Linked DNA regions of Arabidopsis thaliana. The protein of the gene in region 1 interacts with the protein of each later gene in a pairwise test. Each region holds a gene or a part of one and is shown in the gene's direction. Other genes may lie near its edges.

The links.
Region 2: the proteins of GTR1 (region 1) and RABC2b interact in a protein complementation assay, tested with the Arabidopsis thaliana proteins (one large-scale study listed by BioGRID).

The regions. Positions count from the first base shown.
Region 1 is NC_003074.8:17,694,341-17,710,386, reverse strand, and holds GTR1 (Major facilitator superfamily protein), read left to right. Parts: upstream 1-9,463; 5' UTR 9,464-9,615; coding exon 9,616-9,832; intron 9,833-10,398; coding exon 10,399-10,616; intron 10,617-10,696; coding exon 10,697-11,250; intron 11,251-11,339; coding exon 11,340-12,261; 3' UTR 12,262-12,445; downstream 12,446-16,046. Other genes in the region: AT3G47965 (uncharacterized protein), read left to right, coding at 1,678-1,708, 2,188-2,291; HA4 (H[+]-ATPase 4), read right to left, coding at 12,586-12,682, 12,782-12,960, 13,041-13,223, 13,330-13,515, 13,624-13,784, 13,895-13,976, 14,073-14,105, 14,198-14,436 and 5 more.
Region 2 is NC_003074.8:3,030,696-3,046,260, reverse strand, and holds RABC2b (RAB GTPase homolog C2B), read left to right. Parts: upstream 1-7,758; 5' UTR 7,759-8,139; coding exon 8,140-8,275; intron 8,276-8,550; coding exon 8,551-8,619; intron 8,620-8,720; coding exon 8,721-8,786; intron 8,787-8,888; coding exon 8,889-9,010; intron 9,011-9,082; coding exon 9,083-9,211; coding exon of another isoform or gene 9,212-9,277; exon of another isoform or gene 9,278-9,301; coding exon 9,302-9,397; 3' UTR 9,398-9,650; downstream 9,651-15,565. Other genes in the region: PIP5K9 (phosphatidyl inositol monophosphate 5 kinase), read left to right, coding at 2,585-3,801, 3,897-4,064, 4,159-4,324, 4,444-4,554, 4,735-4,922, 5,015-5,172, 5,245-5,404, 5,556-5,835; RABE1e (RAB GTPase homolog E1E), read right to left, coding at 9,882-9,971, 10,071-10,163, 10,256-10,318, 10,405-10,502, 10,599-10,664, 10,847-10,947, 11,031-11,103, 11,502-11,574; AT3G09890 (Ankyrin repeat family protein), read right to left, coding at 12,103-12,183, 12,267-12,362, 12,451-12,545, 12,647-12,725, 12,807-12,898, 13,406-13,583; ATB' BETA (Protein phosphatase 2A regulatory B subunit family protein), read right to left, coding at 14,330-14,668, 15,199-15,565. UniProt on the Arabidopsis thaliana protein: Intracellular vesicle trafficking and protein transport.

The DNA.
Region 1 (16,046 bases):
AGAGAGAAAAGAGAGAAAGAAGTGGACAATGATATAACAAACACTGAGATTTGTGTTAATACATATATTATATGGTGTGATGTAACACCAGTTAAAATGAATGATATACAAAGGTGGATATTTTCTTTTTGACACTACTAAGGGCATGCTACCGTTTATGGCATGGAACCAGAATGATTTTTTCTTGTGTAATAGTTGTTGATATTGTCTTTTCTTTTTTAAAAAATGTGAAGAGTTTTTGATATAATTGTCACCAAATTTCACCACTCTAAAATGCCGACTTTAATTATTTAAAATTATTATTCAGCTGATATTATTTAATCTGATTAAGAACAAGGACCTACATGTATTATAGTAATAATTAACAGAGGAATGACTTTACATAAAAAATGATAGATGCAAGTGGATATGCCAAAAAGAAAGAAAAGCAGTGGCTTTATAAGAGGTGAATGGGGTTCAAAGGTGAGTCTGTTTGATCAGTCGAAAGGTCATTGGATTACAAGTGTGGCTTCATATAATACTTAGTTTATTTCTCCTTATTGTTATTTTAATTTGGTTTACTAGAGATTTGTATTTGTATTTCTGTTATGTATATGGAAGTTGTCGCCTTCACATGCATACACATGTTCCATGTTTCTAATCGTGAACACCAATCATAAATTAAAATAACATTTATGTATATTAATTAAGTTATAATATAACCCAAATTTTTTTAGTGTCTTCTTCTCTCAAAGAGGAACGAATCTTCAGTTACCGGTTAAAAAGATCTATCAATTGATTCTTACTCGTTATATAACTTCTTATAAAGTAATTCACTGACCGAAATAAGAACAAAATTTATGACAAGATTAGTACTTATTTTGAGAAAGCAGACAAGGCCAAGACTTTGGGTTTTGTACTTTGTACCTTCAAACCCATACCAATCACATAGAAAAACATATAAAGCGAAGCAAAACTAAGATACTGATTTCTAAACCCAAAGACTCTGCTTAAAAGCCCATTTATACTGTCGACCATTTTATTGTTTACCATTGGATCTGACTGGTTTACTTAAACGCATAGAAGAAAAAATTGGAGGAAGCAAAAACTTGAGTGAAGTCAGCAAATAATCTATGCAAATTTCATGGTTTCCTCGGACTAATCCAAACAATGTTTTCTTTGCAGAAAACTCTTTTTTTAAAGCATCATGGTTCATGGATATCTTTTTTCAGATTGCATCAATACATATCAATTTTTTTATCTATACGTAAGACAAAAAGACTTAGACCAAGTTCATCGATAGTTTTTAGTGGGTTTCTTAGTTGGTCTCTAAGAGAATAATGGGCCTAAATTAAATAAAAATTCAACAAGAATTTTAGGAACGTTCCTAAAATTAGGTTTTTGGAAACTCATTAGAAACGCATACGTGGCTAATTGTGATAGATTGTTTGTTTTAAACAAAATGAATTTTTTCTCAGCTTTCTCTTTTGTTTGGTTTCTCCGTCGACGATACCAAAGGCGATTCAGCTTGATTTGTTTGATCCAACGTTTTGATCATGAAATCGGGAGAGCAACCACATATACTCAATATACAACCGCCGGAATGATGATCGACGATGAGATTGTTCACCAAGTCAACTTCAAACCGGATCTTGTGGTTATATTGTTCAATTCTTTGTAACACCAGGAGCTTCTATCATGTGGCTATCTCATGAGCTCTTACCAAGAGGTAGAATCCAGCTCTGTCTCAAGTATATCTCTTTTAATGCACTTCGAGTTTTCTGAAATTTTTGCTCAAAAAACATGGTTGTGGCAAAACAGAGCCTTTATCTGACATATAGATGGCGCTTAAGAACAGGCTAATAAATAATATGTTGTCTTAAGTTTTAGTTTCTATCTGAATGTTGCATGTTTGGTCAGAATGTACTTCACCTTCTAATATTTCGGCTTTAAGTTTTAGCTTCTAGTATTTCGGCTTCTAGTATATGTGTAATAACTTTGAGACTGAATGTTTGGTCTGAATGTTTGTGTTTGGTCTGAATGTTTTCAGTTTATGGATTAATGAGATGAGTATTTGTGTTTGGTGAATGTTTGTCTCAATGTTTTCAGTTTATGGATTAATGAGATGAGTATTTGTGTTTGGTCTGAATGTTTGTAGTTTACGGTTTTGTTTCATCTGTTAATGTCATGATTTGCTTCATTTTGCAGGACTGGGAAGAATAGAAATGGTGCCAACATCAATTGTGGAAGAGACCAAATGCTTTAAATGTATGTATTGTTGTGAGTTTTATCGATTAATGAGTTTGGTCTGAACTTAACCATATCCATTAATGACTGAATGTGTGTGTTTGGTCTGAACTTAACCAAATTGATTAATAGATGAATGTGTGTGTTTGGTCTGAACTCAACCATATCGACTAATAGATGAATGTGAGTGTTTGGTCTGAACTTAACCATTTTGGTTACAATCGAGTAATGAGTTTTATTTCATGAGTTTCATCTATTAGCTTATGTACTTGACCATTTTGTTTTCTAAATTTTTTTTTTTTTTTAAAAACCCTCTTGAAGATTTCACCATTGAACCATAAAAATTACAAAAAACTCTAAACTACAAAACAATCAAAATTAACTAATAAACAATTTGAAGAAACTCATATTAGAAACCAACCAATGTGGATGCTCTTACGTGAACATGTACGTGAAACTCGGTAACAAAGCCCATACCGGTTGGGCTTTAATATACTTTAAAAAACTTGGGTGGTGTTACATTTAGTTTTAAAAAATATACGCACTAACAAGTGTGTCGATGGTTTTGGGCCAAAATCCGTAATTTCTTTAAACCTGAAATCACATCATGTAATATTAGTTTCGTTACAAGTGTCACTCGAACCGACGACCTCTAATCTTCGCCTAAAATCTTTACCAATTGAGCTAATAACACTTGGTGAACGAAAAAAAATTACCATTCAACATTTTTATCTATTTAATTTTGGGCCTTTGAAAATGCTTACATGTGAAAGTTTTAGAATATATTTTTTTAAAATATTCCTATCATGATTTCTACAAACACCAACAGATCATACCATTATAGATAGTTGATCGGTATTTATTTTTGAATTTAATATTAAATTATATATTTGTTTTTTTTAATATAATTTAATATTAAATTAAAAAGATACCGATCAACTATCTATAATTGTATTTCTTATTTGTGGAAATCATGACAGGAATATTTTAAAAAAATTCTGTCCTAAAAATTATATATAATTAATCTATTGGAAATAGTTGATCGGTATTGCCACTTTGACAATATAAAATTATATATAATTAATCTAATGAAAATAGTACTGTTTCAAATTCTAAGTTCCTGAGTATATATAATTTGTAGACAAGCCTACATCGAACAATCTTTTCTTTTTTACATCGAGCAAGTTGATATTGAGAAATTGTGGTGATTCATTGTGGGACGTCCCCATTAGGTTGAAATTGCCGTTTGATAAAATATTTAAACTTGTATGGTCTAATGTTGTTTAGACTGTAGTATTTTTTATTTTATAACGGTTAATAATTTTATTTGGGTCAATACTCAATAATTATCACTTTGCGGAAAATGGCGGCACCATAATTTTGTTTCCAGGACATTGGTCCTAAACTACATTCTAGAACAAATTAAATTAAACTTCTTAAAAGTCTCTTGTCCAAGTATCAAAGGAAAACATCTACATCATTAAATTTGTTTTATTTATTCTAAAGCTCATATGCAAAATTATAAGTTGAAAAATAAGAAAATGTGAAATATATACATAGTAATTATAGTTTTTGAAGACTGTGAATAGACAAGTAAAATATCCGGCGAGCAATCAATTTAAAACCCAACCAAGTTCGAAAAAAAACTACGCAGAAGAAAATCCTCCTAATATCGTATCAGTATTTTCCATTGGTGTCAACTAATAAATAACAGAGCTGCGACCAACCTTTCTCAGCTTATCAATATCTTAAAATACATAAAAATAATCCATAAAAATACATGTAACTATCGTGTTAAAAAATAAAAATAAAACACGCAAATAACAAAAAAAAAAAAAAAAGAGTGCTCGAACCGTCCACTAATTAATCTAGTCGGGTGTGAACGATGAAAAATATGGCTCAACCACCTCATCCGCCCAAAATTATACCATTTGCAGCACTAAAAACTTATAAACTTTAGCACATATATAGTGACTGAGACTTACCAATCAGATTATATCCACTTATTTACTTAGGTCTTCGTCGACATATATTACTCTTTGAATTTGAAGACGCTTAAAAATTCCGATGTATAACACATTTTGAACATGTTTCGCCTGACGCAGTAAAGAATTAAATATCGTGTTTGACATAGTATACAATTTAAACTAGTACTAGTGCCTGCCTGCGTGTTGATCTCTTACAACACATTTTTGTAATGCGAAATTATTGATTTCTTGACCAATGTAGTCTATAATGCGTACCTTTTGAAGAAACTTAAAATAAAATAATGATAAAAGCTTTTAAGCTTTACGCAGTAATATTGATTAGAAACGGATTTGTAGGTATTATGTGCTTTTTGTATGTATTTCAATGACATAACTATACCGATAATAATTGTTACTTTTCGCGAAAATTAAAACGTTTATTTTAAATGGAATTGTGTGGTAAAGATGTGGGTGTTGTATATGATTGAAACACCATAATTTATGCCGAAAACAATGTATCGCAAAAAAAAAGAAATAAAAAAAAAGTCGTAAAACAGAATGGGACAAACAATCCCTGAACATATTCATGTAAAATCTTTTTTGGACAAATTCACCAATATGGGAGAGCGGTGTATGTAAATATATCTTGCACTATATATATTAATATTAGTGTCTTTTTTTCTCATGAAAAAAAATTCTCGGAATGAATATTATATACAAATTTTATGGACTATATAATACAGTTATATTTGCAACAAACAAATATTTAACTTTGCAACAAATAAAAACGTGAGAATTAAGAACGTAATTGTACGCGGAGAGTGCATGTAGCACTTGCCGGCCCAATAATGAAAAAGGCAACTTGTTTTTTGTTTGCTACACGACCTCGTAAAGTAAGGTTGAGCTATATTTTTATTCATTTATACATACAAAAGCGATATTGAAATCGAATGGCTCATATTTATGATGTGAACATGGAAAGTCAATTATATGTAAACTATAAGTCAAGTGTTGGACCAAATTTAGTGTTGTAGTCCAATTCAACAATGAAAATTAAACCGCCAAAAAAACACAAACATCCAATATAACGAATAGACACGTAGTTAAGACTTTAAATATCTTAAGAGATTAGACAAAAACCATACAGTTCCATTCCATTGAGATTTTCTTCATTCAGAATTTGACACCAAGTTTATAAATGTTTAAAATGTTAATATATAAAGTAAATTTCTCTTCATCCCACTGATTTCTTCAGGCTTGCCGGTCCAACTCATAAAATATAAAAATAGGCATATAAAAAAAAACAAAAAAAAACGTGGCCTACGCTTTTAAATGATTGACAAGGATTGGAATATCGTTTAGTTTTTGGGTTCGGTTCAGTTTTCAATTTTGGTTAGTGCATCCACTAACCATCTAGTGCATCCACTAACCATCGTCCACTATCCACAGTCCACACTATCCAATGATTGACCGCGTGAATTAGACTAAAAGGTTCAAACCCGTGACGTGGATAATTAGCATGAGAAGGTTGACTTGTGTAGATAGTTGTGTTGCTTTCTACAACTTGATCAAATCACTAATTTCCAAATAAACCGCGTCAAACCCCAAAAAGTAGGAAGTATATGGTAATATGGACATACATCATCATCATCATCATCATCATCATCATCATAACCACCTCTTCTATTTTCATATATGTTTTTTTTTCTTGTTTGCTTGTATTGATTAGTTTCTTCGTATAATGACAACCCAACTGAACTGAATTCTTTCTCGATTTAGTTTTTGTTTTTCTTTTTTCATGCATATATTACACCGAAACGTACATTCTTTAGCAAACGTAATTATAAAAGGATGCCAAAATCTAACCAGTCCAAATTATTACGAGTTCATATTTGAGTTATTTAACCGAACCGGACCATACTATTTAGTCATCACCTCCTAAACCATTGTTCACTTTTCACATATGATACGGACTTAGTTGGTAGGTATATGGATTATGGAGTACTATTTTATTACAATAACTCTCTCATAATTTTCACAATAAAAAACACGTGTGTACACTGTATACATACGTACACCATAAAACATGTGTTTTTGTGGTCCACGTATATCCAACACGTACATATATTAGTATAACAGTGTTGTTTTCAAAGATTAGAAAAATATCATTATATATTATTGTATAAACCTATTGAAAAGTCTGCTAAATTATAACTTTTTGCAATGCTTCCCATCGTACACCCTTTTTTTCTCTCTTACAAATAAATTTCTTGTTCAGGCCAGTTTGTTGGAATTCTAAATAGAATTGGGCATTGCTTTTTATTTATTTAAATATGTAGACTCCACTTATAAGGAAAAATAACTGGTATTTATGTAGTTGAATTTAAATGAGAAATGAACTGGAAGCATGCAAAAATAAAAATAGAATCCCTAATCCAGAACTATCTTTGTATAATTTTTAAGAACATCAGTTTCTTGGTCTGAAGTCCATATTAATTTTCTTACATGCATGTGCAGCCAGGTTCTTTTTGGTCTGCAATGCCATGAAGTCTTCCTTGAATTGTTATTTTTTTTTTAGTTTAAAGTAATGTATATTTGTGTGCATTAAAAAAAGAAGAAGCAAATGTTTAGTGTGAACACTGTACTACAAAATAATTTGGAGTTGGGATCTTTCAAGTCAAAACCTAATTGAAAAGGAAGAAAACACTGGTTATATCTATGACTTTATTTTGGGTCGGCTTAATAACGGAGTTTAGGACTTTATAATGTATACGATTCATCTTGCACAACAATCTACACGTATGAAAACTATAATTTTAAATACTAAGTATTCATCTAGATATTCTGCTTATCAGGAAGATTTGTTTATCTTTTTTTTTTTTGTTTATCTTGAACTCAAATAAAGACTTAAGAGGATATGAGAATCAATTTAGTGAAACAAATGTTGTGTAGATAAGATCCTGGGTCCACAGCTTTGTCAACAACAATGACTTGTCATCGTCTATGCCTAGCAAGTATTATAATAGATTATAGACAATTATGAGCGAATAAAAATCACTCAGTGAAACATACTATTGAATAATTTAGAGGAATCTTTCGAGAATTCGAAAGAGGACACAACATGTTTAGCTGGACGATCTTCTAAGGTTTCACCTATCGGATCATATATTACGAAAAAGTGAGAGTAATTATTAATTATGAGCTCCAACAAACAAGAGCAACTCAAATCAAAACTTCTGGACTAGACGCAGTAATTAATTAGAAAGAAAAAGACACGACAATTAAAGAGAAAGTTATTCTAGAAATTATTGGAACAGGAAAGCTTCCTCTATATATTTGCGATGGAAACAGAAAAAAACAATGAAACAAAAACATAGCCAAATGTTTTTACCACATGATTTTACCAAAGCTTATTAGATCTTGGTTCTTAGACTGGCGAGAAACTGAGAGAGATCGGTGGAGGAAAAAGGGATGAAATATATAGAAGTTGGATTTTGCTTCAATTAGGGTTTTGATTTGATGATTTTTTTTTACTGAAACAGAAACTGAACGGTGTTTCTAACTGTGAATTAGGATGGTGTTAAGATGGCAAATATTATATGTAAAAACTCTAGCGTAAATATCCAATGAGATAGCTAGTTAGATATTGTTTTGGCAAATGCTAGGTGTTTTTTTGGTATCATTTCCCCTAAGCATGTGTGTGTTTAGGTTTTTGATTAAAACTAGCAAATTCTGTGGACTGCAATACTCATCATATATGCCAAACTTCGAAATCACATCAATAATAACCTCAATAAATGTGAAGTAACTAAAGTGGACCCTTTGCCTCTTGTCTTTACATATGTAATCATCCATTTATGAACGGAATCTTATGAAATTTATGAACCGATAAGTAATTAATTATTTATTTTAATTTATAGTCTTTTTTCTACCCCATTGGTAATTTTGGAAACCAAATATCCAAAGCAACCTCTATCGCTTTACCCCCACCCCCATGCAGGTATACGTACAAATGTGCAATTTGGTCGGTCAACTGGGTCTTAGTCAGTAGCCAAATGTCTCCAACATTAAATTGTAAGAGAAGATGGCAATATGCATTCATATTGTAACAAACGTATATGTCCTCTAGACGGGCGTGATCTACCTTTAAGATTAGTTCAAAAGCATAAAGTCGACTGATAGCACAAAATGATGTCTTGCCAAATGTGTATTTCGGGTAGTTCGATGTTTTTGGGATCGGCAAAAGTTATTTGAGAAGACATTCATATATATATATATTTTTGATTTACGGGAGTAGGGTAAACATAGAACAATACACTTTATAGATATTTATATATACAAGAGAAATGTGTTTTTAATTAGGATTAGCTGGGAAAAAGAGAGGCTGGCTCTAGATCTTTTATACAGACACCTACCGACTTATAATTATTATCACTGCACATGCATGTGGATCATATATATTAAAAGTAAATTACATGCATAACTTACATTAAAACTAATTATTCATTATTCTTGTTTAGTTTTTGATACTTATAAAATTTTAAATTCTTTATCCATAAAACTAGAATTTTTTTAGAAATATACCATTTTTACTATGTGTATATATATATATATATATATATATATTTTAAAATTGACCATATGTGTTGTCCATTTTCAATTATACATATTTCAAAAATAATATATTTAATGTCTGTGACGGCTTATAGTGGTTGAATAATCATTCATATTTATAAAATCTTATAATTCATTTAGAAAATCTTGTATTTAAATTTTTTTTTTATAAAAAATCTTATATATCGTTATACATAATTGAAAATATACAATATATGCGGTTATTTAAAAAACATATTACTTGGATATTTTTGAAATTCCCCCATAAAAGAAGGGATTTTTTTTGAAATAGCTACAAAGAACATAAATTAGAAAGTATGTTGACTTTATTCGTAAATTATAAATGCTAGTAGATTTTAGAGAGAAAAAAAAAACGAAACCTAGTTTTTCTTTTACGCAACCGAAACCTAAAATTATTAAATTGATAGGTTTGACATATATAATATAATAATTCGATCGAAAAATTTGACTACAGAAATCTGAAATCATAAACTTGGTGTAATGTAAACATACATATCTCATTAAACAAAAAACTAATATATAAAATAATTGACTTTTGAAACAATATATTGACTTACTAGTGTAAAAATGGGCCTACCTAAATCCAGCTAACTCAGCCCACACATTAAAAAGAAACGTTAAAGGGAAAGTAATAAATGAAAATGAGTCACTCAGAGACAGATGTCTCTATCTTTCACAGCCAAATTCACACCATTCTTTATTTTCATTTTTCCCCCTTTGCCCAGATTCCGACAAAATCCACTCGTTTGATTCCACCACTATATATAATTGAGCGGAGAAGCTTGACATGAAGAGCAGAGTCATTCTTAACCATAGAGACAGAAGAGATAAGAATCATAACAACAACAACACCAATCATTACACACAGGTTGATACTATGGAGAGAAAGCCTCTTGAGGTTGAGCCATCTACTACGACGACTAACACCGATGTGGTCGATTCTTTCGAGGAAGAGCAGAGAAAAATCGTTTATAGAGGATGGAAAGTCATGCCTTTTATCATTGGTAACGCTCCTTTTTACTTGTTTGTGTCTAATTCAGACATCATTTTTTTCTTTTGGGGTGCTTTGTCGGATTTTAGGGAAGTGTAACATTTTGTCCGTGATGTTTTTAAATTTCGTTTCTTTTCTCTTCTCTTTGACTTGACTCTGTCAAAAATCTCGAATTTGGAGTTCTTTCTCTGAGATTTCGAAGTGAAATTGGTTTTAAAACTGAGATTTCGTTGAAACAATGAAACCCAGATAATCTTACAGATCTGTCTAATGGAAATTATATTTTTTACAATTGTTTTCATTTTATTTTCAAAGAGACTTTTGAAATCTTTAACACAAAAAACAGAGACTTTAAATCATGCAGTTAAGTTTCTGAAAAAAGTAGATAAGATTTTTGTGAATTTCTGGATAAGACAAAATTAGTTTATGGGAGTTACAAAACAGTTATAAAGTTTCATGTGAACCAAAGTCAGAACATTGGAAGTCCAAACTTTGATTTGTGTGTTTCCTTGTACATTAAATGTAAAAAAAAAACTGTAACTGTATTCTTAATTTCTTATCATTAATTTGCTATTGTAGGTAATGAGACATTTGAGAAGCTTGGGATCATAGGGACATTATCAAACCTTCTTGTGTACCTAACTTCTGTATTCAACCTTAAGAGCTACACAGCTGCAACTATCATCAATGCCTTTAGTGGTACAATCAATTTCGGGACTTTTATTGCTGCCTTTCTTTGCGACACTTACTTTGGTCGCTACAAGACTCTCAGTGTCGCTGTCATCGCTTGTTTTCTGGTACTACTTTTATATATAATCTTTCATGACTCCGGTTTCGTTTTCGCCAATGTTTTCTAAACCATTTTTCATCTCTGTAGGGATCGTTTGTGATACTACTTACTGCTGCAATTCCGTCGTTGCACCCCGTTGCTTGCGGAAACAAAATCTCGTGCGAAGGGCCAAGTGTGGGACAGATACTGTTTCTGCTCATGGGTTTAGGCTTTCTTGTGGTAGGCGCTGGTGGTATCAGACCGTGTAATTTAGCGTTTGGTGCTGATCAGTTCAACCCCAAATCCGAATCAGGAAAGAAAGGGATCAACAGTTTCTTCAACTGGTATTTCTTCACTTTCACGTTCGCGCAGATCATCTCGCTCACAGCAGTTGTGTATATCCAGTCAAATGTGAGTTGGACAATCGGTTTGATCATTCCGGTGGCTCTTATGTTCTTGGCGTGTGTGATTTTCTTTGCTGGCGATAGATTGTATGTAAAAGTGAAAGCCTCGGGTAGTCCATTGGCTGGTATTGCTCGTGTTATAGCAGCCGCGATCAAGAAACGAGGTTTGAAGCCGGTTAAGCAGCCTTGGGTCAATCTTTACAACCATATCCCGTCTAACTATGCAAATACTACTCTAAAATACACCGACCAGTTCAGGTAAATTGATATCTACTTATTCTTGGTTCTCTTGCTTTATGTTTCTGGCTTTTGTTTTGCTGAAAAATGTTTGTTTATTATGTTGCCAGATTTCTAGACAAAGCAGCAATTATGACCCCCGAGGAGAAGTTGAACTCCGATGGAACGGCTTCCGATCCATGGAAACTATGCACGTTGCAGCAAGTGGAAGAAGTGAAATGCATTGTAAGAGTGATTCCAATCTGGTTTGCATCCACGATATACTACCTTGCAATAACTATACAAATGACTTATCCGGTCTTCCAAGCGCTCCAGAGCGACCGACGATTAGGTTCTGGTGGCTTCAGGATTCCTGCGGCCACCTATGTAGTGTTCTTGATGACTGGCATGACAGTTTTCATCATATTCTACGACCGTGTACTTGTCCCGTCGCTCAGAAGAGTGACCGGGTTAGAAACCGGTATATCACTCTTACAAAGAATCGGAGCTGGGTTTACATTTGCGATAATGAGTTTATTAGTTTCCGGGTTTATAGAGGAAAGGAGAAGAAACTTTGCATTGACCAAACCGACACTCGGGATGGCGCCTCGGACAGGAGAAATCTCATCAATGTCAGCGTTGTGGCTGATTCCGCAGCTTACACTTGCAGGCATAGCAGAAGCTTTTGCTGCCATTGGACAAATGGAGTTTTACTACAAGCAGTTTCCTGAAAACATGAAGAGCTTCGCGGGTTCTATCTTTTATGTCGGTGCAGGGGTTTCGAGCTACCTCGCTAGCTTCTTGATATCAACTGTTCATCGAACAACCGCGCATTCACCTTCAGGGAATTGGTTAGCTGAGGATCTGAACAAAGCGAAATTGGATTACTTCTACTTCATGCTCACAGGACTCATGGTTGTTAACATGGCTTACTTCTTGTTGATGGCTAGATGGTATAGATACAAAGGAGGTAATGATGAAGACATCACTGAGATTGAGACCAATGAAGAAGAAACCAAGCAACAGCAGCTACAAGACAAGAACTCTGTCTGATCTGGAAACTTATATATTTTTGGTATTCTACTTCAATCTCCGTAGTTTTTCTTCACCCGAAATCAACCTTGTTGTACTTTTATAGATTAATTGAAGAAGAAAATCACTTCATCTTTGTAGACATGTATTGTAAAATAAGTTTTTTGTTGCTAATTTCAACCTCCGTACGAAGTTTCTGTTTCTTCTTTCATCACCACAACAGAACAGAACATAACAAACCGCTAAAAGAAGGCTACGAGGATTCGATATTTATATGCAATATGTATGTATTAACTACAGACACAACCTTCATGACCCAACTGAAATCAGCTTGCACTCACTTTCTCAGACAGTGTAAGCTTGTTGAATGGTTTCTATGTCGAGTCCTTTGAGTCTCACCACTGATTCAACATGGCCCTTGAGCGTGTGAAGTTCACGCAACCTATAAAGAAGAGAGCAGTAGACAGAGAGAAGACGATGAAAAAATGTTCTTTTGTTATGTTCAAAAAGCTGGAGAAGATTTGGCTTTGAGTTACTTTACCTAGCAATTTCAGCTCTCCTCTTGGCTTCTTCAGCCATTTGGTTAAGTTCACTGACATGGGTTCGATCTGTGAACATCTTAGTATCTGGTGCTTGTAGACCATGGAGCGTTCTTTGTGCGTGAGCCCATTGCAGCTCTCTTTGTTCTTTCCCAAAATCTTTTTGCCTTGTGAACGCAACCTATGAAAATGCAAGAAACCCGATAAGAAACTTTAATGTATAAAGTGGCACAAAAGCTATTTGTGTTCCTAATAACATACCCTTTGTTCGATAACAAGATCCCAGGCTCTGCCACTAAGAGCGTAGCGGATGAAGAATTTGATGAAATCAAGGGGGATGTAGAATATGATGTTATAGAGCCAAATGACCCCGGCCCATCCCCAACCTATTCCTTCTATCGCAGCAAAGCTCCAATTTGCATAGACTGCAATTAGAGTAGCCACCTGTTTTGGAAGCAAAACAAAAATTCATATAATTAGACCCAAAGCTCATAACTTTTGAGGTTCTCATTGTGTACTGATCACACAGTTAACAAACTTCCGGAATTACCAACTGAGCGAGGATAAAGGCAATCATAAGAAATATCCCGGGACGTTCCACAAAAGACCAGCTTCGCGATCGGGTCACAAAGATAAGTGCCTGACTGATAATACTGACTTGCAGGTATATGGCTGAGGCAAGCTTTCGGAAATCATCATGAGCAGTTTTCTCAAGTGTCGCAACTCCAAAAGTTCTCTGAAGTTTCAAGTAAGAAAAGCTGAGATTAGCTGTTAGTGAAAGAATTAACAAAGCAAATAAAACCAACGAGATAAACACAAGTGACGGAGAGGAGAGAAAATGTACCGGGAAGAAATCGGTTTTGTATGAAACCCAGAAAAATATAACGGTCATCATGGCCATGTAACTGCCAAAGACAACACCGGTAGCAAAAATCTCAGAAAGCTTCCAGCTATCTGGAAGAGGGGAAGGTTTCACCCTGTCCTTTGATATTGTCATGATCGTACCTAAACGTCAATTCCACAAGAGTTCATTGGTATATCAGAGTCTAGAGGAACTAATAGAAAACTCTGAAAGTCTAATTATGATCGAGAAAAAGAGGAAATAAGAAATGAACCATCATTAAGAATGGCAATGATAAGGACCATGAAAGGTGGGAAGTCAAACTGCCATATGAGAGCCAGAAGCATAAAGCCCAGCTGAATCGGTAAAAGTGTACAAAGCAGTCAGAATATTAGTGGTAACAGTAAAAGAGAAATGAGTAGGAAAACCCAAAAAACTGAATCGTAACATACAACAATACGGATTGTGATGGAGACTGCGTAGATCTGTCCAGTAAAACATGAAAACCAACAAAAGTTAAAAGGAAATTGTCATGAGGCCTCAATGATTTGAGATTTCAAAGAAATATGGCACTCACAGTATAATTTTTCATTCTCTGGAAGATAGCACGACTGGTCAAAACAGCACTGATGATAACGCTAAGACCAGGTTCAGTAAGAACAATATCCGATGCGCTACGAGCTGCATCAGTGGCATCAGCAACTGCAATGCCTATGTCAGCCTTTTTAAGAGCAGGAGCATCATTTACACCATCACCCGTCATTCCACATATATGTTTCCTGGCTTGTAATCGCTTCACTATCTCATATTTATGCTCTGCAGAAAACCCTTGGGCATAAGTGAGAAATTCTGTTTATAGATGCTGGAACTAGTTTCAGAAGTACATGAATTTACCAGGGAAGACACCCGCAAAGCCATCAGCTTTCTCTATGAGCTCATCGACAGGTAAAGCAACTATCGACTCATCCTTGTTCTGTCCAAGTAAAGCGGATGAGGGGTACATGTTGGTTCCCATCCCCAAACGGCGCCCAGTCTCTTTTCCTATAGCCAGTTGATCCCCTATAGAGAAGCCTCAAGCCTTTAGCAAGGATAAATTTTATCTTGACAAGAAATGTCAAAATGACAACTTGACAAGGATAAATGCTATAAGGATCAGACTGAAATATCAATATGAAATGGAAATTCACTAAATGCTACGAAATGTTTTTCACCTGTGATCATTTTAACACTCACACCAAGATTTAAAGCCCTTCTTATCGTCTCAGCACTGTCATGCCTAGGCGGATCAAAAAGAGGCATGAGACCCACAAATTGCCAAGGACCTCCAGCACTATCCTTCCTCCCTTCAGGAACATCCTGCAAAAGTACAAAACCTTTTCAACCTTGAACTTTATATCAAATTGCTGTGACTCAATATCTTAAGAATCTTGGAAAGTAGATCACCAATTGACCTGGTACGCCACAGCAAGAGATCGCAGACCCCTTTCAGCGAACTTATCAATAACAGCATGAACTCTCCGCTCAATCTCTGATTTATTGTGTGCAAGATTTAAGATCTGAAACATTTTCACAGAAGGTAACTGTTCAGACTATGCTCTAACTAAAAATTGAAAATTAGTAAAATATAGGCACAACTGGCGATAAAGAGCTTACTTGCTCAGGAGCACCTTTGCTCACTCTATGTGTGTTACCCTCATTGTCAATATATGTCAGAGCCGTTCTCTTATCAGTAGGATTGAAAGGAAGAAAGTGAACCTCCTGGATACCAGCTCGTGCCTACAGAAAACGGTTGACCATAAGCGCCAAAGAAATAAACAGAAAACAAAGGAAGCTTAATAAATCTTAGAATGCAGTTCAGTGAAACCAAATACATCTTTAGGATCTGCCAGCATCCCGACTATAGCAGCATCTATAGCATCTTGGTTCTCTAGTCTGGAGGCTCGAGCTGCCATCAGGACAACAGTATCTGCATCCACTCCTTTCATGAAAACTTCAATCAGATTTTTGTCAACAGTAAGTTTATTCAATGTCAAAGTGCCCGTCTTGTCACTGCAAAGAACGTCCATGCCAGCCATTTCCTCAATCGCCGTCATTCTCTTAGTGATAGCTCCCTGCTGAGATAGTCTGTGGGAGCCAATTGCCATGGTCACAGACAGAACTGTAGGCATGGCAATTGGAATTCCACCAATGAGAAGCACAAGAAGGTTATCAATCCCAGGGCGGTATGCTCGGTGTTGAATAGGGTACATCACGACAATCTCAATGAGCATCCCCACAGCAATAGAGCAGATGCAAAAGTTCCCAATTGCAGTTAAAACCTGTGCACATGTTTGAATAAATTCAAAAATAATATTGGTTTGTTCCAGTTGAACAAAGTCCATGATAGTTGAAGCGAGTTCAAAAATGAGAATGTGGGTGTGTTAAAC
Region 2 (15,565 bases), about 15 Mb from region 1:
CTCCACGTTAAAATACAACTAAAAAAAAATGATTGATGATGAAGAACGTTTTTTGGTCTCGCAAAATTAATAAATTATTAAAGTAATGGGACTGGGAATATATATATATATATATAACAAGAAAGAGAAAACGACAATATAATGGAATTTTCTTTTAGTAAGTGGTAGCCAAACCCCACTACTCGGATCGGTGGCTGTAGTTGTTTGATTTTAGATAATATGCAAAACTTAAGGTACTTGGATAGCTAGGTAGATATTGTGAAATTACTCAGATTCTAAAACGAAAATATGATGATATGATCATTTTTCTTACTAATATACTGTATATCATTCTCGATTGATGTCTAAGTCTACTAATAATGGGAAAAGATAAGTTTTGTTTTAAAAAAAATAGAAATGAGAAAATAAAAGTTGTGGCTATAAATGCCCTATATTACAGATTTATACTCTATTTTAAGACATTTTCATAAGACGGTAGATCGATTCTATTTCTATTCTTCTGGTTTTTCTCGCGTCTCATATGTAATTCGTAAGTTGTACGTAGCATGGGGATATCATACTTTTTTCTATACTTTTTTTTGTCATTATAAAGTCCTTTTTCTATTGTTAATTAAGCTTCCTTTTTTTTTGGTTAGTACGTTTCCCTGAATACAAAAATAATAATTAACTTTTTTGATCACTAGCTAATCCCAGCATCATTATAATAATGCACCGAAAAAGATATGTAAAAGTGTTTAATCATATAGCACATCACAATGACTACATATCATTAGAACATTCCTTCGTTAACAGTATTGAATATTTATACTACTTTCTAATGAATACGATTAAATTAATTCCCTCATAATTAATACTACTTTATAGCTAACCCCCAGATCTCGTTATTCAATTAAGAGTAAGGCATGTAATGCCGATTTAGACTGATTTCAAAAGATTTTCTCGAACAATAAAAATATGTAATCAACTTCTTTTCTTTTTCTTTCAAACTCAAATTTGTTGGGTCAACTTGTAGTATATTCAAACTCAAATTGGTGAGCAGAAGTTGACTTAAAAATATTGGGAAGCACGTGGATTAGTGTAAGAAAAACACAATGTAATGTTTCCCTTCACCGGCCAAGCAGGTCAACATCTCTACCTTCTAAACACACATCAATTTTTTGTTGAATATTATATTTCATCGATTAAACAACTAAACTTATATTTGAAAAAATATCTCAAACCACTCGGATAATAGAAAGATCAGAGTATTGATAATTATTAAATCTTTGATTATTTCACCAGCTACAAAACTTTTCTAAATAGATATGTATATAAACAAAACCACTCTTGTAAGAGTAATAAGTGGGGTTAGATCAGAAAATACCCAAAATAAAAGAATAAAAGAGGCATTAATTAATGCAAAGGTTATATCCGTCATTTTGGTGTAAAGTAAAAAGCTTGAATTTTTATGGAAGCTGAAATAAGAAGGCTGTTATTGTGGCGCTTAGCTTTCGGGATTTGGTCCAGTCGTCTCTTTTAGAAAGATTTGACCAACACTGAGGCTGAAGAAGACGAAGAAAGAAGAAGAAAGTGAAGAGCTTTGAGCTTGTCCGTACGGTTTGTGAATCTCCTTTACTTCCCCAGTTTCCTTATTTAGTGAGCTTGATTTGGTTTTTGGATCCGGTTTCATTCTCGAATTCGGGCATTTCTCTGTTTTTGGTTCTCTTTGGATTGAAGAAGTCTTTAACCGGGATCTTCGGTTTTTGTTGCTTTCGTTTTATCTTTGTTGAAGATTGAAGATTGAAATGGAGTTGCTTGTTGATTGTGTTAATCAAAGTTTTTAACTTTTGTTTCCATCGACACGACTCTGATATGTACTTATATAGAGCTCTGATGGGGTTTCATTATGAATTTCAAATTCAGATTGAAACATTGAAACTTTGTTATGAACATTTTTTGTTTTTCATTTGCTCAATTCCTAAAAAGTAGGATTCTTTCTAGCTTTTTGGTTTGGTAAATTTGGCATACTCTGCCTTTATTTGGGAGACGTGGAGGAATCTCTTCTTTTTAAATGTGAATTCAATATAAAAGTTTAGATTTTTTTTTATATAAAGGCTTTATGATTGTAGACTCGTCTTCTTCCATAAAAGGCTTTCTTTTTGATAGGAAAAAGGGATTTTTGTTTGCTCCTCTCTCATTCTCTGCCTCTCTCTGTGAAATTTAGAAGTTCTTGTTCTTTCAAGTGGGACCAAGAATCAGATGCGTGTCTTAATTTTCTTGTTTGATAGAGATTTGAGCAAGTCTTTGCTTTTGTGACCATTTATCTATTTTCATGTTTTCCTCATTAGTTTTAGATTATTGCATGCATCAAAAGTTAGTTACTCTTTTTTATTCTTTCTGATTCTGATTCTAGATTCATACATCGTGACTTGGAACCTGATTCTTGCATCTGCTTTCTTCGTTGAATAGCTGAGCACATTCTGTTTCACCAGTTTACTGGAGGTAGCTTCATGTTTTGTTGAAAGAATGTTCTCCTTAAGGCTGTGAAGCCTTTTGCTCTGCGGTTTGTCTGAGCGTTTCTGCTTTAGCTTCTTTGGAGATTTACATGTCTGGCCTTGACGTACGAGGAGCAGTTTCTTTTGCTGAAAGAACTAAATCTGTTGATGCACTTACTAAGAAAGAGATCCTATCGGCGCTAAACAGTGGAGAAGTTTCCGAAACTTCTGAGGATGCTAGGTTCAGAGTTAGGGAGCTGGTTCTCCCCGATGGCGAATCCTACAGTGGTTCTTTGCTTGGAAATGTACCCGAGGGACCAGGGAAGTACATATGGTCAGATGGGTGTGTTTACGATGGAGAATGGAGGCGTGGGATGAGACATGGAATTGGAAATATGAGATGGGCTTCCGGGGCATCTTATGATGGTGAATTTTCAGGCGGTTATATGCACGGTTCAGGGACCTATGTGGATGCTAACAAGTTAACGTATAAAGGAAGATGGCGGCTTAATTTGAAACATGGGCTCGGATATCAGGTTTACCCTAATGGAGATGTCTTTGAAGGTTCTTGGATTCAGGGATTGGGAGAAGGACCAGGGAAGTATACTTGGGCTAATAAAAATGTCTATCTCGGGGATATGAAAGGCGGGAAAATGTCAGGAAAGGGTACACTTACTTGGGTTACCGGAGATTCCTATGAAGGAAGTTGGTTGAATGGAATGATGCATGGTGTTGGTGTATATACGTGGAGCGATGGAGGTTGCTATGTTGGGACATGGACACGGGGTTTGAAAGACGGTAAAGGCTCGTTTTATTCAGCGGGAACCAGAGTTCCGGTAGTGCAAGAGTTTTATTTAAATGCTCTTAGAAAGAGAGGTGTTTTGCCAGATATGAGAAGACAGAACCAAGTTGCTTCCTCGGTTAATATGGAAAACCTTAGAGTTGGTGTGAACCGTAATAAGCTCTCAAAAGGGAGCTTAATAAACTTAGAACAGTCCCGCAATGGAAGGGTTTCTTTAGAAAGACGTTGGAGTCTTGAAGTATCTATTGAGAAAGTGATTGGACATGGTTACTCGGATTTATCTACGGCAGTTTTAGATAGCGGAAGTAGTGTGCAGTATAAAGCTAACATACCAATCTTGGAGAGGGAATATATGCAAGGTGTTCTGATCAGTGAGCTTGTGGTAAACAACGGGTTTTCGCGCACATCCAGAAGAGCAAAAAGGAAACACAAAAGACTTGTTAAAGAAGCTAAGAAGCCTGGAGAAGTTGTTATTAAAGGTCACCGGAGTTATGATCTGATGCTCAGTTTGCAGCTTGGAATCAGGTATGCTTGCTCCTTCTAAACCTGTGCCCTGTGAGCGTGTTTAGCTCTAAATTCATCACCGAATATTGTTGTTACTGAACTAGTTCAAACGTTAGATACACAGTGGGGAAAATTACGCCAATACAAAGACGACAAGTTCGGACAGCAGACTTTGGACCTCGGGCTAGTTTTTGGATGACTTTTCCTCGAGCTGGCTCCACGATGACTCCTCCGCACCACTCGGAGGATTTTAAATGGAAGGACTATTGCCCAATGGTATTCAGGTTAGAACTTGTGTACTGCATACTTTTTTCTTAGTAGTATGTTAACTATAGTAGTTGTGTCCTTGGTGTTTATATTCATTGCTAAACCTTGTAGAAACCTGAGGGAGATGTTCAAGATCGATGCAGCTGATTATATGATGTCCATTTGTGGAAATGATACTTTAAGAGAACTTTCTTCTCCAGGGAAGAGCGGCAGCGTCTTCTTCCTGTCGCAGGATGATCGGTTCATGATCAAAACACTCAGGAAATCTGAAGTCAAGGTTTGTGACTACTTACATATCCACCATCTCTGTTTTCACATTATCTTCTTAGTTTTCTCCATGTCTTTGCGTAGACTCTTTGTCCGTCTGCCCATTGAGCTTCCAGATTTACTGTGTAGGTTCTTCTGAGGATGCTTCCAGATTACCATCATCATGTGAAGACATATGAGAACACCCTCATTACTAAATTCTTTGGCCTTCACAGAATCAAACCATCAAGTGGTCAAAAGGTCCTGAACCAAAATACCTCAAGATTCTGATTTTGATTTTTTATTATCATTAGCTTTGAAGTTGCCGACATTGCTGCCTCTAAATATGATGTAGAGTAGAACTCTAACATTAGAGCAACATTTGGAAATCCAAATCAATCTTAAAACTAACTATGTTTGAAAATTTCTCTTCCATTGCAGTTCCGTTTTGTGGTGATGGGTAACATGTTCTTTACAGATCTAAGAATCCATCGGAGATTTGACCTTAAAGGTTCGTCCTTGGGACGCTCTGCAGACAAAGTCGAGATAGACGAGAACACGATACTTAAAGATTTAGATCTGAACTACAGCTTCTTCTTGGAGACTTCTTGGCGGGAAGGTTTACTGAGGTATTACTCTCTCCAGGACCTTCTTGTAAGATATATACATTTATCAATCCATATTCCGCAGTTTAAAATTTCTTTTCTTGCTGTGTAAACAGGCAACTAGAGATCGATAGCAAGTTCTTGGAAGCACAGAACATAATGGATTACAGTCTTTTGCTCGGTGTGCATCATCGAGCTCCACAGCACTTAAGATCCCAATTGGTCCGTTCTCAAAGTATAACAACTGATGCTCTGGAAAGTGTAGCTGAAGATGGTGAGATTCTTTTTTTCATCACCTGTAAAATGATTCATACTATTTTTCTTCTACTGATGATGATGAAAGCAGATACAATCGAGGACGACATGCTGTCTTACCACGAAGGATTGGTTCTCGTTCCTCGGGGAAGTGAAAATACTGTAACTGGCCCTCACATCAGAGGCAGCAGATTACGAGCATCCGCTGTTGGTGATGAAGAAGTAGATCTCCTTCTTCCTGGAACAGCCAGGTAACTAACTCTCACCTGGTTGGAAAAATGAAAAACTAAGACTTAACAAATGCTGATGACAAATAAATGGAATACATATGATCCAGACGACATGGAACTGATTGAAACTTAGTCCAGTTCGGTTTTTGAAAAGAATCTCTATAAAATGCAGGCTGCAGATACAGCAAGGAGTGAACATGCCGGCAAGAGCAGAGCTGATACCGGGAAGAGAAGATAAAGAGAAGCAGATTTTACATGACTGCTGCGACGTCGTACTCTACCTTGGCATTATAGACATCTTACAAGAGTACAACATGACCAAGAAGATTGAACATGCTTATAAATCTCTTCACTTTGATTCTCTTTCGATCTCAGCCGTTGATCCAACATTCTACTCCCAACGTTTTCTTGAGTTCATCAAGAAAGTATTTCCACAGAACAACAAATCATAGACAGAGAATTGAGTACAGAGTTTTATGTTTTTTTTTGTAGAGATAAAAAAGAATTCTATGTTGTAAGTATGTTGTATACAGATCTTGAGAGCTTCAATAAATAAGTAAAAAACTAATTCTCCTTTTCTTGATTGCATGAAGTATTTGGTTTAATTATTAAAAGGCAAAAATATAAATAATCAAAAGTCACAGAAAAGCCCTAACGTGTTGTCTTCTTCTTCTTCTTCTTTTGAAGAGTAAGAAATCAATGTCGTCCCTGGAAAAGAAGAGGAAGAGGAAGACTACGACTAGGACAAAGAAGAAGAAGCTGTCCCCAAATCAGTCAATCCCTATGATTTGCTATTGGACATCATCGCACGCGTCCCAAGATTGTACTATCCGACTCTCTCACTCGTTTCCAAGAGCTTTCGATCCCTCCTAGCTTCACCGGAGCTTTACAAGGCCAGCAGGTCATTCTTGGGTCACACCGAGCGTTGTCTCTATGTGTGCTTACGGTGCTGTCCTGGTTATCGCTGGTTCACCCTGTGTCGGAAGCCAGATCAAACCCTATCCAATGACACCACTGAAAAGAAGTCAAGTGGGTATGTTTTGGCAACAGTCCCCATTCCTAGTTTTCATAAACCGCGCTTTTCGAGTCTCGTGGTGGTTGGTTCTGATATCTACTACATCCACGGGCCCTCCTCTAACGTCTCGATTCTGGATTGCCGGTCTCACACGTGGCGCCAGGTTCAAAGCTCGATTCTAGATTGTCGGTCTCACAGGCGGCGCAAGGCTCCAATCTTGCCGGTGGAACATTCGTCACTTACTGCTAGCGTCCTTGGTGAAAAGATATATGTAGCAGGATGTTACAGCGATATGCATTTAGGTTCTTCTTTCTTTGAGGTGTTCGACACGAAAACGGAAGTTTGGGTTAGTGAGCCCATCCCTTACAGCGACAGAAAATACAACTTTCTTCACCCCAAAAGCATTTGTATTGATGGAAAGATCCATGTAGTGACTGACAGTGAGGGGGTTGTTGCTTACAATCCCAAGGAAGGTATATGGTTGGATTTGGATCAGTATATGCGTTCAGATTCTTATTGTGAGATAGATGATATTTTGTACTCTGTTTATAGCAGAACGGTTATATGGTATGACACTGAGGCAAGCAGGTGGAGATATTTGGAGGGCTTAGGACAACTTACGTTTCCTCTTGGTGCTTCTATTAGGGCTTAGGAAAGTTAGCGGTTTTGTGGGACGAGGATTTGCTTTATGGTTTGACTAGTTTCGTCTATAAGAAGAAGATTTGGTGTGCGGAGATTTCGCTTGAAAGAAGCAAAAGTTGCGAAAGTTTTGGGAAGTTGAATGGTTTGATCATGTGCTTACAGTGCCTAAAGAATGTGAATTGGTGAAAGTTCTTGCTGCTACTGTTTAATAATTGCGTCACAAGGCTTGAAACGAGGTCTCTTTGTCTCTTTATTCACTTGTAATCATTTGATTTCACTTGCTGATTGATTGTTAAGCTTACTTTGTTGTGACCAAAATGCTTTTGATAACTACGGTCGTCTCTTTACATATGTGTAAACAAAACAAAAAAACACTTTGGAGAGTAATTGATTTGAATGGTTAATTTTGCAACAGAAAGAGTTTTTTTTTTTTTTGGTTATGTTTTAAAGTGTAAAAAAAGCCTTTGTTCATGTACTTGTTCCAAAACTGATAGTAACTTGTAATCCATACAAGTGAACTTGTGAACACTCTTTATAACAACTTATCTTTCATGAGAGCTTCACTAAGAAAACTAGTTTTCCTTTGTGTTTTTTTGGGTCTGAATCGCCGCAAACCGCAAAAGATAATTGCAAACGTAACAGTAGTGCTTTGATTGCATGAAATATTTGGTTTTATAATAAAAAGCTAGGAAAAAATAAAAAAAAATTTGGGAGGGAGCAACAAACACGTGGATACAAAACAAGACGGACTTTGGAAGAAACGTTGAAACAGAAACAGATACGTGTCGTGAAGCGAAATGTCGGAGAAAGGAGAAGAAGCAGTAAAGAGTTCTTTAATGTTTTTGACAGTATTTGTTCAACAATTCTCATTAACGTTTTTCATTATTTGTTTTCTGCTCTGTAAAGAATAAAGTTTCTTAATTTGTTGTATGAATCATAGATTTCTCTGCAGAGGCAAAGTTTTCTCTCTTCTTTTTTCGATTCATTCTTTTACAAGATAACATAAAAATCACTTCTTTTGTTTGTTTGTTTATCTAAGTTGAATTTGATTTGATCTCTTTACTGTAGTATTAGATAGAGTGAGAGATTGTAGAAGAAAATGGGATCTTCTTCTGGGCAAAGTGGGTATGATCTATCTTTCAAGATCTTGTTGATTGGAGATTCTGGTGTTGGTAAAAGCAGCTTGCTTCTCAGCTTCATTTCCAGCTCTGTCGAAGATCTTGCTCCCACCATTGGTAATTTATCGTTCGTTCTTAACAGTCTTAGAGCTAGAATCTTGACTGGTCAAACTTCAAATATCTCTTTGTCGACATGATTTTTTTTTGCATTGAAGGCTAGCTTATTGTTTGTGAGCTAGACCACTGTCTGGTCAAAATTCAAATGAAGTTGAAGTTTGAGAACTTGAAGTTTTCTTTATGATTTTCTGTTTGAAAATAAACTCGGAAAACATAACTCTTGATGCTTATCTGAATTTGAAGCCTGCTTGAGTCTGATCAGTATAACATTGTAGGTGTTGACTTTAAGATCAAACAGATGAAAGTAAGAGGGAAAAGGCTGAAACTTACAATCTGGGACACAGGTAAAAAAGCAATAAGAGCAATTCGAGTTTTTGGAACGTGTGTAGTTGGTTACTACAAAACTCATGGTCCATGTGATTTCTTGTTTGTGATTGTTGTGTAGCTGGACAAGAAAAGTTCAGAACATTGACAAGTTCTTATTTCAGAGGCTCCCAAGGAATCATTCTCGGTAATGATATATGAGATCATATAATTGTCAGTAGCTGTTGTCGTAATAAGTTCTCAAGACTTGTATTAATACTCTCTCCGGATTTTCTTGGTCATGGTGCAGTTTATGATGTCACGAAAAGAGAGACATTTTTGAACTTGGCAGATATTTGGGCTAAAGAGATTGAGCTATATTCGACTAACCATGACTGCATTAAGATGCTCGTTGGCAACAAAGTTGATAGAGTGAGTAGCAGTAGTAGTAACACTTGTAGTCAAACAACTTGAGATCGGTTTCACTGATAGTTGTCATTGCAGGAATCAGAAAGGAAGGTTAGCCGGGAAGAAGGAATGGCTCTAGCGAAAGACCTCAATTGTTTGTTTCATGAATGTAGCGCAAGAACCCGAGAAAACGTGAACGGATGCTTCGAAGAGCTAGCTTTGAAGGTAAGAAAGAATCTTGATGATCCCTTTTCACTTTCAAAACCGGTCGAAACTGAGGAAAATAAATAATAGGAGAGTTGCAAAATGAAACAGATAATGGAGGTACCTAGTCTTTTGGAAGAAGGATCAAGCTCTGTGAAGAGAAAACCGGATTACCGAGCTCATCAAGGCCGGTGTTGCAGCTCGTGAGTCACCTTGTTAAAATCGGGTCGGAAGTAGCCTCTTTTGTGTGTAAATTTCTCAAGAAGCTTGACTTCTCTGTAAATTTATCAATTCCTTCGATCTTTCTTCTTCTTGCCTCGGCGGAGATTTTGTAATAAGTTTGTAACCCCAGAATATATGAAAAAAAGGCACTTCATGTTCTTATTATCTCGTGATTACTTTTAGTCTGAAATTTTATATCTGTCACAAAACACAGGAACGAGATAACTCTCTAATTTCGAGCCTTGAAGCCGTAGCTTACACACATAACATCTGCATTTCATTAATTCAAAGTTTAAGCACTTAAACATTGTCTACCATTACCAGTACAGTGTTTGGCCATCGAGATAGCAAAATACACACAGCTATCAATTAAGTCTATCCTCCTACTAATAAGAACATAGGACGATCCCTTGAATGATGCGAAGAAGATTAAAGACGGTAAGAGATTAGAAACAGGTTCAGAGAACTTCTAAACATAACTGCAGCAAGCTGATTTCTCATTTGTAGAAGACGATGAGGCTTTGTTAGCATCTTGTTTAGTGATCTTGATCCCTTGGGGCTGCAAATCAACAAAGACAGTATTTGATTTTCCTCAGCAATATTTACAGTTTCATAATCCGAGTATCAAGCGAATAGTAGATTCCATGTGCTTCTTTACCTCGGCTTTTGTATCGCTTTCTGTGAGTCTTTGTTTTATGTCTTTAGCGATAGAAAGGAAAACCTGCTCGACATTCTGGTTTGTTTTTGCACTCTGCAACAGTTTCCAATCATATTTAAGAAAATGAAAATCTTCAAACAAACAATGAATGAGGAGACAAACATATTATATATTTTCGCACTCACCGTCTCAAAGAATTTGATTCCATACTCATCAGCAAGAGCTTGTCCTTTTGATGTTGGGACAGCCTGTAGAATAAGATGCAGCATCAGTATCCTACGAAATGTAGGCAAAACATGGTCAGGATTGTGAACAGAGTACAGAGCAAAATTACCCTTTTGCTTTCGTCCATGTCGGCTTTGTTACCGACCAATATCTTGTTGACACTATCGGACGCATGCTGCTCAATGTTTTTCATCCAGTTCCTAATGTCTGGAGAAGCAATTTGTGTTAGTTCCCACACAAAGGTGACTTTTAAGTTCTAGTAAGAATATAGTTCCTGGTACAAAGAAAAGCCAGAAGACCTACTGTTGAATGATGACTCATCTGTTACATCATAGACGAGTAATATACCCATCGCTCCTCTGTAATATGCTGCAAAGAAAAATGGACCAAAAGAGTTACAAAGAAATGTCATCTGAACTTTATTAACAAGAAAGAAAGTAAACAAATAGACTTAGAATGATGAGTAATCATCTAACAGAGGAATCAGCAGATTCATACACAAAACATAAAGAGTGATCTTCACTTCACATAGAGCAGAGAGAAGTTTTAACCTGTGGTTATAGTTCTAAAACGTTCTTGTCCAGCAGTGTCCCATATCTGCAATTTGATACGCTTCCCATCAAGTTCGACTGTTCTTATCTTGAAGTCGATTCTGAAAAACATGAAACGTACTTAAACCGAACTTTTCAACAATCTAACAAGACAAGATACAAAGTCAAAGAAAGAAAGACATACCCAATGGTAGTAATGAAACTCGTGGTGAAAGTATCATCCGAAAAACGCAGTAACAAGCAACTTTTTCCCACACCTGCGTATACACACACACACATAAGTACGAAATGAAGAGAAGAAAATTTAACACAAAAAAATGATGATTTGTGCAACTCTATCTGAACTCATTGTAAAATCAAGTTAATAAAACTGATTCATTAGTTCTTCACAAAATCTAAGTTTGAGATATTGCTTATAATTGAGCCAAAACTTCCAAAAGGGAACTACGTTGATACTTCAATTAAAAGAGAGTGTAGCTCATCTACTTTGTTGATCAAACACGAAAGAAAAACAAAAAACGCAAAAAAGTTCAAAATCATAAACCTAATTCAGATCGCAAAACAGGCAGGAGAGAAGATTCTCGGATAAAAATGCAATAGTCTCTGAACCTCGTTTGTTCAGTACTTCTTAAGAGATAGAAAGGCAGAGACTTACCGCTATCACCGATGAGGAGAAGCTTGATGAGATAATCATAGTCTGAACGAGCTCTTGCCGGCGCAACCGCCATCGGAGAAGATGTTAGTAATCACTATTCTGTATCCTCTTTCTAAACAGAAACTAAAACCGAGCTTTTGCTATTTTCCCCCGGAAAATCTCTTCTCGCCGGAGACAGCCAAAAAGAAAGGAAAGAGGCAGAATAAGTGCTCTGCTTGCTATCAAGTTCAAAGCTGCTCATTGGTGGATCATATTTTATTACTTTTTACTGTTTTAGTCTTTTATTTCTCAAGTATTCACACTTCAATCCACCAACTTATTAAACCGCTCAATTTCCTTCTTGTTAATATAGATGTTTGAAATGTTTAAAATTGATTCCAGTTTTCTTACAAAGAAACTAGTATATTTTGTACTACTCAAATCTGATAATAATTTCATGATTAAAACCGACACGGAAGTTCTTAATTCCATAGGTATCAAAATTTGAAACCTTTTGTATATGAAACCACCAAAAAACAGGATTAAGAAAAAGTTAACATTTTGCTACTACTTCACTGAGTCGCCAAAACTGGCCAATGAACTCTGCAGATTTGCAGCATCACTAGGAGATCATTGAGTTGTTTATCGCTTCTTCGAGTATCCTCTTAGCATCAGTGTTTAAATCAGCTAATTCACCTGGTGTCTGCATTATCACAACCTTGTTATTATCGCTAACCATACTTCAAAAGCCAAAGATAGAAATTGCTTTCAAATGTTTTTTTTCACCTTCCCATAGGAGTTTTGTGTCGTTGGTGAAGCCCCGGAACCCAGCAAAAACCTAACCACGTCAACATGTTCACCTCTTGCTGCGTGATGCAGAGGCTGTGAACAAGAAAAACTTTGGGATGAATTACATTATAGAGAGCAAGAGCTAGAGGGAATGAGGCAATTGAAGATTGAGAATACTTACAGTATCACCTTCTATATCTGCTGTTTCAATCATTCTCTTCACACATTCAGGACTACTAGCTCGGCTAAAAAGAAGCTGTACTATTTCCAAGTATCCTGCGAGCCCAAGTTAAAGAGAAAGAACAATAAGCCACAGAATGTGACCATGCCGTGAGACAGAATTACCAAAAGAATGGTAGGACCATGACAAACTTTACCTCCAGCACAAGCATCATGTAGAGGAATTGCTTCGTCTTCATCTTTCACTTCCATATCAGCTCCTCTTTCTAAGAGCAGCTGCAGTGAAAATCAATACAAAAATTAATTTACAGATACATTAGCTATCAGAGTCGATGGAAATGACAAAGAAAAAGCAACCTGAACACAAGGTAGGTGACCATATAGACATGCCAAGTGAAGTGCCGAGTCATTATCCTCGAGTGGCTCATCGACTCTCCCATTCAAATTGTCTATCAAAATCAGAAAAGGAATATGATTGCCTTTAAACATTTCATCTTCTCAAAAACAGCAGAAAGTGCACAAATTAAGACATATCCACACAATGCAAAATCTGATACCATTACTTCTACCAGTAGAAAGATGATCTAGACTAAACTAATTTTCATCAGTTCAAAAGAGTATGCAAATCTTACGTCAGATCAATCACAGCCCCAAGCAACAAACAAAACAAAGATAGACATGAATACACACATAGGCATAAAACTAGAGGTTTCTCTTATCCTTCCTAAGTGAACCTAAACTAGATTGAGCAAACCAGTGAGTCAAATGGAAAATGAAGCCCTTAAGGTGGCTTAAAAGGATGAGACGAAGATCAAACTAGAGGAATCTTCTGCAATGAATGTGGGAAATTTTGAGGCTTTTTTGGTCTGACCAGCTAATCAAGCAATACGCAATTGAAGATGAAATTGAAATTGAAATTTGTTAAAAGCAGCAACGAGAAGAAGTAAGGAAAGTACCGATGGCGGTGCGCAAGGCGGCGACATCTCCGGCCTGAGCAGCGGCGGCCAAGTCACGGAGGTGAGAGGGAAGCTCGGAATCGGTGTCGTAGTCAACACCGTTTTCCTCAAAGATAGCGTTTTCTCCGTCAACATCTTCTTCTTCATTCAAACCATTTCCTCCTCTTGGAACAGCCATTGTAGTCTCTCTTTGTCTCGCTCTCTTTTGTTTTTTCTCCACCGCCGTGGAATGATTTTCTTGTAACAAGTAAAACAACTAATCGCCGCCGTGCAATAAGCTACCTCAATAAAATTTAGGTTTTCTCGTGGTGAATTGGCGCAGTTAATTAACTGTATATAACTTGGTATATTCTCTCGGTCTATGTTTTCGGTCCAATGGCTCTGAACCAATTTGGTTAATAATAAAGAAGACGATATTGTGTTTAGTTTACCTTAAGAGTTAAAATGAAAACTCTTCTTATCTTTTGGAAATTGAGGAATCAAATACATTGTCCTGGATCAGTTGGAAGACTAGTTTCCTCCTATATACAAATTCAAAGTTTTGATACAAATAACACAAAAAGTAGGGTAAGAATGGATCAAAACAAGAAAACCAAATTGGATTTTGAGATGGCTAATAACACAAGCTACAAACATCCATCCACAGTATATATAATTAAAATTTTACAAAATTTTAAAGTGCCTTTCCACGAACAAAATTAGACAGAAGATCACAAACACATTTCTTAGTACTAAAGACATATTCTCTGATAGTAATGGCTCACTTCTCTCTCTCTACTTCTCTGAGCAATCAGATTTTGAACCCATGATTCTCAAAACAACAAACAAATCCAAGTTTGATAAGAAAATTAATATAGTAACTCATTTGATAAAATGAGAACAAACAAAAAAAAAAGTGAAAGAATTATACCCTTTTTGATCGATCTAGGAAGTGATCATATGATCTTCTTCTCCTCCTCCTCCATCTCGCTCCGCCGCTGCTTCTGCTAATCTCTTCCATGTATATTGCCGTTGTTCTTCTACTTCTTTGGATTTCGCTTGTTTCTCTTCATACTGTCTCTGACATTCTTCAAACAGTTCAGGATCCATTTCCATGAACATTTTCTTGATATTTGTGGTTAGACCATGAACTGCTTGGTTCCAGTGAGACTGGATGTTCTTCTCCAGTGTGGGATATATGATTGGAAGGATCACGCTTCGGTTTTGCGCGATTAGACCCACAATGTGCTCGTTGTTCCACAAGAACAGTGCTCGTTCTGCAACCTGTATCGGATTTATGAGATATACATATGAGCATAAGGCAAACCCCACATAGAATTCTAGGAAAGTTTGAGCTGTTGCACAAAGACATAACGGGAAACTTGTGTGATTCCTAGAAATCAGTAAGCACAGTAACAATACATTCAGAGAGTTAATTCACTCCATAAATTTTGAAACAACTGAATCATGGAAAATGAAGATGATCTAGGAATCCAAGGATTTAATCAGAGTAGAAGCTATCAAAAGCATGAGATATAACGCATACTTATGAGAGTTAGTACCAACAAGATCATTTTATGAATGAAAATCAACATGTGGCAAAAATGAAGAGAAAGAGGCAAAGCAAAAAGAAAAACAGAACAAAAAAAAACAATTTGCACTAAACTTGATGAAGCACTAGTTCTTTTCAGGGAAGAAATCAGACCAGAGTCAAAAGAGCTAAATAACAAAATCTCCATATTTAAGGTAATATGCATAATAAGCCTTCCATGTGGGGATTAAAAAAAAACACCATTGCAAACACGACGACTAACCTGAAAGTGGGAGCTAGTGAGACAGCGACCAATTTGTTGGAATAATGGAACCATGCAACGCTGGAACTCGACAGGCTGTGTTGCCTCAAGAACTTCTTCAAGTTCTCCAAGGAAGAGATTCTCCTTTGAGCAGTTTGTCACGGGCCAATACTTTAACAATCCCCTGATTACTGTATCCGCAAGCTTATAATCTTTTTCCACAAACTGAACGATGCAATAAGATAACTGCTGATGATATACAACGATTGGTTTTGGCTTATGCAATGGTATCAACACCCTGATTAAGAATAGCTTGTGTTCCTCCTTCATAGGCAATGCAAACCCGTTTATGATACTGCCTAGAATCTCCAAGAGTTCCCCAATCCCA